Linked DNA regions of Diceros bicornis minor. The protein of the gene in region 3 purifies or fractionates together with the protein of the main gene of each other region. This does not show direct contact. Links are inferred from orthologs where the notes say so. Each region holds a gene or a part of one and is shown on either strand. Other genes may lie near its edges.

Region 1 (3,748 bases), on a different chromosome or scaffold from region 3:
GCTGCTGGCGGCCCGGGTTCGGATCCTGGGCGCGCACCGACGCACCGCTTCTCCAGCCATGCTGAGGCCGCATCCCACATACAGCAACTAGAAGGATGTGCAACTATCACATACAACTATCTACCGGGGCTTCGGGGGAAAATAAATTAATTAAAAAAAAAAAAATTCTTAAAAAAAAAAGAGCAGTCAACAGCCCACCAAGAAAAGTGGTCTGTGTAGGTCCTAGTACAGGACAACTGGGCCCACACGTGTTGCTTTACAAAGATGCTGCTCCATCAGACTGCTGGAGGCCACCTCCAGCACAGGGAGACAATCTGGCCTGAAAGCCTGTGTGCTCAGGATTCCTCGAGTCAGAGCGGCTGCCTGGAGCTGCCATATTACAGCAGAAGTCACACACGGGTAACCCACTGGCCAGAACCAACCCCACAAACTGGGTTTGTTTGGCCTACAGTGTTGGACTACTTTGTGTTTGTAATATCTGAATTAGTGCCAATATTTTAAAATTGAAAGACTTCACATTAAAAAAAAAAAAAAAAAGTTTTCTGGCTTCTCAAAGAAAAAGAGAGCAAGAGAAAGGGAGAGAAATCTGGCCGAGGCCCAGCTGCCCCTTTAGCTGCTTCGGCATGTGCTCGTCAGAGCCCTGCTGTTCACACCCTCCAGAAAATCACACACGAATCAAATGTCGGTTTTGAACCTATGCCATTATTCTTCTTATATCCTGCCTGTTTCATTCATTTAGGCTACCTTCCAACTCTTAGCATCACTGGAATTTGCAACCTTCATCCTAGTTGGGTGTACCTAAAAGGTACCCCCAGGGTCTAACCAGGGGAAAGAGTCTCCAAAGACTGTGAAGATGCCATGCTCTCACAAACTTAACTAAAAACATTAGCTGCTGATTCTCTTCTTTATTCAACAACTTGCAAAGGTCATATACAGCAAACTTTCTCCCTTGGCTCTTTTCTAAGTAGTAATCTCAGTAATTACTCAGACTCATAGAACTTTTCTTTCTCTTAACCTATGAAGAGCTTATCAGGGAATGTTGATCATTAACAAATTAATGCTTTAATTAAAAGGTCAAAAATATATCCATTAATCAGTTTTGGACAGTTTGAGCATGGGTTTAGGGTAGCAGAGGGAATCACATTTCAAAAGAAAAAAAAAATGCCCTCCTAATAGAATGAAAAAAAAATTAGATGGTTACTTTAAAATAAATTTCTTTTCATATATGCATAGCAACCACAAAAGTTTTGAACTATATAATTTGTACTCAAGATGTCCATAAGGCAGACTTTATACATTCTCTTCCAATGATCACCTCTTTTACTCCTTAAACTACTTTTGGAGGAAACAAATTTTCCTAACCTTTTAAAAGTAAGCCAAATCACTAACTGAAGCACTGGTTACTAGTGACTAACTAGAATTACCATAGAGTAATCTTATATATGTCCAACATCATATAATAAAAACAATAATCTTACATAAACATATTCATAAGCCCAGAGCAATCACATTGTACTGTAACACCAATTACCCCTCTGATACCACTAAAACGTTCAAATAAATAAAGACAGTTTTGAAGGAGAAAATAATTCATAAAAAGACAAATTATAAGTGTGCATAGACGAGATAGCCCCGCTCTTTTGGAGAACAGGAAATAGATGGTGGTTGATTAAGCGCAGATTCAACAAAATTGGCTGTTTTCCTTCCTACTAGCTGTTTGTGAGTCACTGTCCACACTCCAACACCATGGGGACCTCCTAAAAGCTGGATTCAAATTCCAATCCATTATACTCTCACTCCACTACGGGAGTGAGAGATTGGAGAAATTCTGTCTCCAAGTTATAGCAACATAACACAACATAAAAGGAGGAAAGTCTGGATTCAAGACAAATTGTTTAGAAGGCTAGATAAAGTTCACTGTAACTTTAAAATAACTTTGCATTAATTTGTTACTAGCTAAACATTTGTCAGTAATCTCGTTTCCTAGCATGCTATATTAGACTTCTGCACTTCACCTAGCATGGACAAAAAAAGTAAACTAACCACAAAAGTAGACTAACCACGTGGACACAAGTATTATATCTTAAGTTGTCTTTCCTCCACGTGTTAACAGCACTAAGTGTATCAAAGAGCGTGTAAATACTTGCAGTGCGGTACTTTCGAACTTACTTAACCTTTATTATCTGAATTAGAACTAAGTTTGAACGGAATTAACACTATCCAGTGAATAACTACTAACCAAAACACGCTTTTCCATTTACAACCCAAAACTGGAGTCTGAAATGGTTTTTGTGCTTTTCAGTTAACTTGCAACATGTGGCTGGGAAAAATATCGCCGCTTTCCCAAGGACACTCTTCTAACTCCGAACTTTCTTCCGTGAAAAGACTACCAGGTTCCAAGGGGCGCAGTTGGAATCCACTTACCCGATCCTTCATCCTCCAGCTCTGAGCTAAGGATTTGGAGCCTTCAATTTTCTCACAGTGCCTCTTTTTCATAAAAGCCAAAGGCAGGTTCCAGTCTGTAAGGTCGGCCTCATCTTCCTCCCCGAGTCCCAGAAGAGGCGACTGCAGCATCTCGGACTCCATCAGGGGGGGAGGGGGTGGTGGAGTCCTTGGCAGCAAGCGCTCGAGAACCTCCAGCCTTAAAAACTAGCGTATACCAGAATCGGTGAAATAAGAAACAGAAAAAGAGGGAGTAGAAAAAGAAATGCGAGTATGCGGAGACCCTTATTCAGGCAAAAAGTGTGAGATCCTTCTCTTTAACTCTGCGCGGGAAGTCGGAGGGGCTGGGAAAAGCTGGAGGGAAATGGGGCAGCCCAAGGAGCTCCGCACGTACACACACGCCCCCAGATCCCAAGCCACTGGCTGCTTCTGAGGCTGTACGTCCCCGGAGGGGCTGCGAGCGGAGCTGTCAAAGGCGTGTGAGACTCCAGGCCTCACGATGACCCTGCTCTCGGCCTCCAACGCCTCAGCCGATTCGAGGACAGGCAGGCCGCCCGCTCTTGGTGCCGGTTCGCTGACTGGGCTGAGGTCTCCGGCCGAGGGGAAGAAGTTCAGAGCGCCTCGGGTCTCCTCCAGCCACTCTCAGCCCTGTGGGTCCCGCAATCGCCGGAGCTGCTGCAACCAGAGCCAGGACCGGCCCATCGTGCTCGCCCGCAGCCGGCTCCTCAGCCCCAGGTCCGCGCGGTCTCGCCGGTCCTGGCCTTCGGCCCCGTGGCTCCCTCCTGCCCGAGAACGAGTCCTGAGAAACGAGCGACCCGGAGCCGCGGAGAAAACGAGTAATGTAGGCTTACTGGGTTTGGGGAGTTTTGCCCTCTGGTTTGAAGCTACAGTGAAACTCCTCTCATCAGCACATCAAGGAGGACGCCATATTGCCAAGACCCGGCATGCATCGCGATCTACGGCGTGGCTAACAGGCCAACCTTCCTCAGAGCGTTCTGGCCGCGCTTCCCAGGATGCGGCGAGAGAAGTCCCCGTCCCCCGTTACCATGGCTGCCACAATCTAGCTTTCCAGAGTTTGTCGCCATTCGTTCAATAGATCCATAATATCAAAGTCAATCCTACAAATGAAACTGTATTCATTTAATTAATTTTGATAAAATCTTTTTATTATTACAAATGGACCTACATGCTTCTGAAATTAAAGGAATCAAGCCTCTTGTTTCTTCCAGACTTTGAAAAGGCAGGAAAAGCTTCAGAAAGAATCATTGATAATATTACAAAAAAAGATAGAGTTGTGGGTTGTTTT
Region 2 (3,748 bases), on a different chromosome or scaffold from region 3:
CTGTTATTGGGGCTGGCCCTGTGGCCTAGTGGCTGGGTTCAGCACGCTCCACTTCAGCGGCACAGGTCTGGTTCCCAGACACGGACCTACACCACTCATCAGCAGCCATGCTATGGTGGCGACCCACATGCAAAATGGAGGAAGATTTGCACAGATGTTAGCTCAGGGCAAATCCTGCTCAAGCCAAAAAAAAAAGAGGAAGATTGGCAACAGATGTTAGCTCAGAGTGAATCTTCCTCAGCTTAAAAAAAAAAAAAAAAAAAAAAAAAACCGGTTATCCCATATCCAAGCCACAGTCAAATTTCCCAAAGCAAACAACAGATGTTTTTATTTTTTTTTTATTTCAGTTTATTTTTTTGCGAGGAAGATCAGCCCTAAGCTAACATCCATGCTAATCCTCCTTTTGCTGAGAAAGACTGGCTCTGAGCTAACATCTATTGCCAATCCTCCTCCTTTTTTTCCCCCAAAGCCCCAGCAGATAGTTCTATGTCATAGTTGCACATCCTTCTAGTTGCTGTATGTGCGACGCGGCCTCAGCGTGGCCAGAGAAGCAGTGCGTCAGTGCGCGCCAGGGATCCGAACCTGGGCCGCCAGTAGCGGAGCACGCGCACTTAACCACTAAGCCATGGGGCCAGCCCAACAGATGCTTTTATAGTTAAGTTAGTTCTTTCAAACTAGAATCTAATCATGGCTTATGCACTACCTTTGTTTTATATCTTTTGTTACTTTTAAACCAGAACAGCCACACACACACATACACACACACGCAATGCTTTGTTATCCCCATGACATCAGTATTTTGAAGAGTCTAAAATGATCACCTTATAAAATTACCACATTCCTGATGAGTTGTTTCTCCTAGTGGTATTTACCATGCTTCTATGTGTCCTGTATTCCCTATACACTGGAACTCTAGACTAGAAAAGTCTTGATTAAACACAGATGAAACATTTTAGGCAAGGGTATTTCAAAGGCAGTGCTGCTACTTCATATTGTATTACACCAGGAGGCACACATGTCAAGCTGTCCACTATCAGTGAGGCAGGGTTTGATGAGAACAGTTCTGTCTATTTTAAAGGTGCATTTAATCTTTTGCAAAGAGCAAGTAATCTGTCGGGTGATACTTAGGCCTCATCCAAATATTCTATTTCCTAACAAACAAACTTTCACCTAATGGTTTCAAAATTCATTGATAATTTTTGCGTGAATCAATTATTTCAGGATAAGCAAATAGTGATTTCTAGCAGTATCGCTCCTTCTATATTTATTAGCTGGCTATCTTCTGCAATATTCACAACAGTTAAAAGGCAAGATGGTAGTCATCTGGAATAGTCACCAATATTCTGGCTTTTTCTTCCTTCTGAGTACATGATGGAGTGTATTAGCTTTTGCTCCAGTTACAAACAATCTGAAATCTTAGCGGCTTATAACAACAAACATTTCTTGCTCACCGTTCTGTGATTTGTCTTGGCTCAGCAGTGGTTCCGCTGGGCTTTGCTCCAGGCTCTAGATCAGCGTCACACGTCTCTCAAACCAGGAGCCTGAACGAAGAACTAATGGATCCTGGGAGCCTGCCCTTCCATTGCTGTACGGTAGAGTGCAAAAGAGAAGGTGAAAACATGAGACTCCTTTTATAGCCTCTGCCTGGGAACAGGATGCTGTCACTTCCGCCCACATTGCATCAGCCAAAGCAAGTTACAAAATCAGGATGGCGGAAGACTCTGTTCCTGGGGCAGAGAACAAGAGAAAATTATTTCCTAAAACAACTACACAATCTGCCACAGCTGGATTGAACTTTCCATCCTCCTAAATTTGGACATGGCCATATAATTTGCTTGGGTCAGTGAAATATGAGCAGACACGTGGTGTATTTTCCAGCACCTCCTTTCCACTGCCACAGAGACCAGCGAAATTCTAAATTATTGAGTCACCATCACTTTGCATTCCTAAGTGAGGATAGCAAGTGAGTTAGAAGAACACCTGCTAACCCAAGACTGACAGGTAGTGAAAGTAAAAAAAAAACTCGCTCCGGCCGGCCACAGGGCTTAGCGGTTAAGTGCACGCGCTCTGCTACTGGTGGCCTGGGTTCAGATCCTTCCTTTTTGTGGCCGTTCCATCTTCAAGACTTGGTTTCCAGCATCGCCACTGGCATCAATATCCCGTGAGAAGACAAGAAAAAAGAGAGTGGAGAAAGTGTATTTGCTTGTTAACCACCTCGGCCTGTGCACACATCACATCCACTCACCTGCCCCATCCAGATACAAACCAGTCTGGAAAGATGGTTTCCTGGTGGGAAGCATGAATTTTTGGTGGAAAGTCATAATAGCTCCAGGAGGGTTTGTCAGAATCCTGTCGTGAGAATACTTGTTTAGGTAAAAAAGGCACTGGGAAGCAATTCAAGAAAAAAAGTCACAGGCTGCCATCTCTCAAAAACCCTAGCTCCAGGCAGAACAAATTGGCCTAGGTCACAATTGTGAAGCCATTTGCAGAAGACCTTTGCTCTCTTTCTTAATGTCTTGCTCCCCTCTGGAGTTCTATTGACAGGCATTTAGTGCTTTCATGGTGACTCCAAGCTCTTTGGACACCTCTAGTGGCAATTCTGCTCTGTTCTCCCAAGACATTACTAGGTGACCAGCTGATCAAGAGCTAAGATGGCCACAGCTGAATTGGGTCTTGTCTTTGATACATTTGCACTTTAATATTTCTGATTTTTATAACCTAGGGACTGTAGAAACATAGAATCTCATGGAATGATTTAATCATGTTACCACAGTCCAATTTAGGAGAAATTTGATAGGCAGCTCGTCCTTTAGAAATCCCTCAATCATAGCACACAAGCTTCCATGTACAAGTAAAGTCAACCCACTAATAAAATACTAATAAATAATAAGAAAATACCAAACTAATAATATCTCTGTCGTTACCATGGTTCTTAATACTTTACAAAGCCCTTTAATATCCATGTACAAATCAAATCAACAGTATTAAATAGGAAAAACATATTATCTCCACTTTACTAATGAGGAAACTGAGACTTAGATAAGCTAAGTGACTTTCCTGAAGTCACAAGGCTAGAAAGGAACAGACTAAAGACTAAAGCCAAGATAGTTTGACTCCTCGTTTAGTGCTCTTTCATAATTCTGGGAAAATGGGCCCTTTCCTGTGATGTCCAGTATTTCTAGGGCTTTTAGAAGTCTCTGTCTTCCAAATTATCTTCTAGTAAAAAAGTAGCCTGGTTTAACTGGTTTCCAACCCGGTCTTACATTTAAGATTTATTTCCTTATTTTCTCTTTGACACATGTATTAGCTCTCAGTTCATGTTCTGATTTTCCTTTTTCTCCATCTTGAATATTTTTGGATGGTCAATTATCTGAGGGAAGAAACGTTCATATTTTGATTAGAGTTACATCACTGATATCACTGCATTTATTTCTCAATCCATAGAAAGCTTTTGACAATTATTGCTTTGCTTCCCACTCACCCTTGCCAACTTGCACCCCAGGGCAGTGATTCATTCTTTCCCTCCTTTTTTTTTGAATCACGAAAGCTGATTGAACATGCAGTAAACCAAGAGCATGGCAACGTGACAGGAAAGCAAGTAAGGGCCTCTAACCTGACACATACAGTTAAAAGCAGACTGTAGTTAAAACCACAAGATGGGAGTTACTTCCTTCCCAAATGCCCACGCAAATCTGGTCTGTCACACAGCAGGGCTTGCGTGTATTTGCCAATAACAATACTTAGGAGA
Region 3 (3,748 bases):
AGGGAAGCAGGCTGAAACCAGACTGCCCATTCACTCTGCCACTGCCTGGAAGGTAAGTACTTCAGCTGAGCCCTGGGCGCTTAGGAGGCAGAGTGTGTGCGTGCAGTGGCAGCAGCAGCCTGTCATCTGCCCCTTCAGAAGGTGCTGCCTCAGTCTACAGCCAGCAAGGCCCCAGCCCATCTTCCACTGTGGGAGGTCTCTGCCTGTGATCTGCTCTGGGGGGGCCCAGCTCCTCCAAAAGCCTTGGGCCTCTTGTGGTTTAGGAGAGTAAAGCAGATGAGCACATCTGCCTGCTGTCTCCCCCAGCAAAGCTAACGTTATGTATTGGTACGTAGTCTCCAACCTCTAGATGCTGGCTCAGAGGGCTGTAAAGCACCACATGCATCTGCAGGCTGGGCCAGGTCTGAGGGCCACCAGCCACAACATCCAACATAAGAACAGGGCAGTGGAGGGCCGGCCCTGTGGCATAGCAGTTAAGTGCACTCGCTCTGCTGCTGGCAGCCTGAGGTCAGATCCCGGGCGCAGACAGACGCACCACTTGTCAGGCCATGCTGTGGCGGCGTCCCACATAAAGTGGAGGAAGATGGGCACAGATATTAGCTCAGAGCCAGTCTTCCTCAGTAAAAAGAGGAGGATTGGCATGAATGTTAGCTCAGGGCTGATCTTCCTCACAAAAAACCAAAAAAAAACAGGGCAGTGTCAAAATGTAGAAACAACCCAAACATCCATCAGCTGAGAAATGGATAAACAAAACGTGGTCTGTCCATAAAATGGGGTATTATTCAGCCACAAAGAGACATAAAGTACTGACACACGCTACAACATAAGTGAACCCTGAAAACATGCTAATTGCAGAAACCAGTTAGGAAAAACTAAATATTGTATGATTATATAATGCATATAAATTATATTCCATTTATATATTTATATGAAACGTCCAGAATAGGAAAATCCATAGAGAAAAAGAGTAGATTTGTGGTTACTTGGCACTGGGGGGTGAGAGAATGGGAATGGGAAGAGAGCTAACAGTTCCTTTAAAAGTACAAGTTCCTTTAAAAAGTGATGAAAAGGTTCTGAAATTGCGATGACAGTTGCACAAATCTGTGAATATGCTAAAAATTGTACACTCTAAATGGGTGAATTGTATGGTATATAAATTATAGCTCAATAAAATCATTACCAAAACAAACCAGGAGCTGGCCTAGCCAGCTGGCAGCACTCCTGAGGGAGGTCCCAGCACTGCCCCTCCAGGGGCCGCCCTTGGCTGCCCGCCTCCCTCCCAGCCACAAAAACCTCCCAACCCCACCCCAGCAGCCACCAGTTACACCAGTACAGCAAGAAACTCAGCTCGTCCCTGGGCTTCTGTCTCTACACCAACACTTCTGAAATACATTTTGATCCTGTCCTTCTGACCGCTGCCAATGGAATAACGCCTGGACTTGGCCAGGTCTGGGCTTCTGTGATGTGTCCCTGACCTCCCCTCCCCGCCGGCCCGGGGCTCCTGGCCAGGCCGCACCGCCCCTGGTCCCCCCCACGCCCAGGCTTGTTTACTGACGTCAGTCCTCTCCCCGCCGCCCCTTCCTACGCGTCTGCCCAGTCCAGGCGCTTCCACGGCATTATCTGAACCCCCACCTGGCGCCGGCAGACCCAGACTCAGCGCAGAGCAAGACGTCTGTAACCTGAGTGCCCGCCTGACCACCCTGTGCCCGCCGCGAGCCGGCGAGGACGCCCCAGCGCGCCCTTGCCAACATCTGCGACATCATAGCTGGGGGAGGGACGGCAGGTCCCGCCCCGGGGCCTGAGATCCGCCCGGAGACCCCGGCAGCGCCTAGCTCGAAAGCGCAGCCTTGGTCATCACACCCGGTCACCAGGCTGGCACCCGAAGTCGAACTGGGGTCGCACGCCGGCCGCCGCCCACCCAGAAAGCCGCCACAGCAGACCCCTGCAGGCGCCACCAGGCCCGACGAGAAGAAGAAGCGGCCACCCGGCCCGCGGGCAGCCTGCGTCACGGCCCCGCGCCGCCGGCCGGCTCACCGCGGTAGTGCGCCTGGAAGCCGCTGGGCCGCAGCGCGGGGAACAGGGCGGCCACCCGGCTCAGCAGCCGCTCGCATGGCCCGGGGCCAGCCACGGCCTCAGCTTCTGCGTCAAGCTCAGGGCTGAAGCAGAAGCTGAAGCGGCGGATCTCGCGGGCCGCGTCCTCCTTGCCCAAAAGGTAAGCCTTCACCGTGAGCGACGCCATCACCAGGTGTCGAGGAGCAGGAGCGCAGCCGGCAGCGGCTATCGCGGGCGCGGCTTTTGTAGGGAGCGCGGGAAGCCCCGCCCCGCCCGGCCTCCTGGGAGCCGGGCCTGCGCGCTCCCGGCCCCGCCCCCCCCGCCCGGGCCGCCGCGCGCGAGCCGCCCTGCTGGGGCCCCGCGCCTGCCGCCCCCTCCGTCCCCGCCGCCTCATTGGTGACCACTGTCGTCACAGTCCCTAGTACAACAGGGACCCCGAAAGGCCGGCCCAAGGACTCCGACAGATGTCTGGACTCTGGTCTCTGCACCTGGGGCAAGGGACCCGCTGGGGTCCCCGCCCCAGACCCCTCCCAGGCTTGGATCTGACCATGACTCAGCAGAGCAGAACGCTGGCCGCCTGGGGATACCCAGCGCAGGAGGGAGGGGGGCGACAGAGGCCGGAAGCCAGAAGGTTCCTAGGTGCTCATCAGGCAGGGCCGGCCGGAATAAACTGGCTCCCGAGGTTCTGTCCCGACCGCAACTCTTGAGAACCCCGACCCCATCCATTCAAAGCAACCAGCTTCCCAGGTGGCAGCCCACTCCACCACCCCTAGCATCCTCCATGATGGCCTAGCCTGGTAACCTGGCCACAGCCCCTTACTGGTGGAGGGACATACCCCCAATTCAGGCCTGAGCACCAGAGGAGCTCCCAGTTGAATAGAGCACACTGTTGAGAGGTGCTGGAAGAGCTCAGAGTGCCCCCACCCCACCCGGGCTGGACCACCAGCTAAGGCTTCCCGGAGCCTCAGTGGTCAGAGTGTTCACTGCAGCCGGAGAGACTCCCTTTGGGCGCCTGGGTTCAGTTCAGCAGGCGATGTCCAAGGACCTGTGGAGTCTCAGGCCTACTGGGCTCACAGGCAGCCCAGGGGGCAAACCAACAGCTCCCCAGCTAGGAACCAGGAAACACCGCTTTATGTGATGAAAGTGACCTGTTCGCAAGGCTTGGGGAAAGGGGGTCGTTGGGGGGGATGGTCTGGAAAGGAGGTGAGTGGGAAGGGTATGTCACCCTATGAGGTCTCCCAGGTGGGGTCCTGTGAGTAGAAGTTCAGACCTGCTGAGTCAAAGTCATGTCCTTTCCATCATGGTGGGGTTTGTGAGAGCAGGTAAAACCTCAAGGGATGGGAAACCCAAAGACCACAGAAAGTTGAGTGGATTTGGCTAGTCAGGTACAAGGGTGACACGCCCATGGGAGCACAGCAAGGACTTGTTCATAGGTGTGGCTGGTCCTTCCCAGAGGGCTCCAGAGCCGGCCTTGGCACCCCTGCCCAAACTGCCCTGTAGAGAGGATGGTCCCGTCTCAGGCCCCTCCCTGCACCCCCGCTGTGAGCCTGGGAAAGTGACCCTCTGCCCACTGCCCTGCAGACAGGGTCAAAAGCCACAGAGGGGGCAGTGCTAGGCAGCGGGTGCAGCGGCCCACAGGCGCCCACGCCCGTGACTCAGCAGCCTGGGAGCCTCGCAGCCCCCAGCGGGATGGGCC

Evidence for each region.
Region 1: the proteins of SQSTM1 (region 3) and RPTOR purify together in Homo sapiens (affinity purification with western blotting; 3 studies listed by BioGRID). This does not show direct contact. The link is inferred for Diceros bicornis minor from reciprocal best matches to the Homo sapiens genes SQSTM1 and RPTOR.
Region 2: the proteins of SQSTM1 (region 3) and interferon-inducible protein AIM2-like purify together in Homo sapiens (affinity purification with western blotting; 3 studies listed by BioGRID and IntAct, with this or other methods). This does not show direct contact. The link is inferred for Diceros bicornis minor from reciprocal best matches to the Homo sapiens genes SQSTM1 and AIM2.

Annotation. Positions count from the first base shown.
Region 1 is NC_080757.1:60,046,932-60,050,679, reverse strand, and holds the start of RPTOR (regulatory-associated protein of mTOR), read right to left. Parts: upstream 2,598-3,748; 5' UTR 2,587-2,597; coding exon 2,425-2,586; intron 1-2,424. UniProt on the Homo sapiens protein: Component of the mechanistic target of rapamycin complex 1 (mTORC1), an evolutionarily conserved central nutrient sensor that stimulates anabolic reactions and macromolecule biosynthesis to promote cellular biomass generation and growth.
Region 2 is NC_080743.1:63,954,563-63,958,310, forward strand, and holds the start of interferon-inducible protein AIM2-like, read right to left. Parts: upstream 2,757-3,748; 5' UTR 1,452-2,756; intron 1-1,451. UniProt on the Homo sapiens protein: Sensor component of the AIM2 inflammasome, which mediates inflammasome activation in response to the presence of double-stranded DNA (dsDNA) in the cytosol, leading to subsequent pyroptosis.
Region 3 is NC_080740.1:92,813,211-92,816,958, reverse strand, and holds the start of SQSTM1 (sequestosome-1), read right to left. Parts: upstream 2,275-3,748; 5' UTR 2,240-2,274; coding exon 2,035-2,239; intron 1-2,034. UniProt on the Homo sapiens protein: Molecular adapter required for selective macroautophagy (aggrephagy) by acting as a bridge between polyubiquitinated proteins and autophagosomes.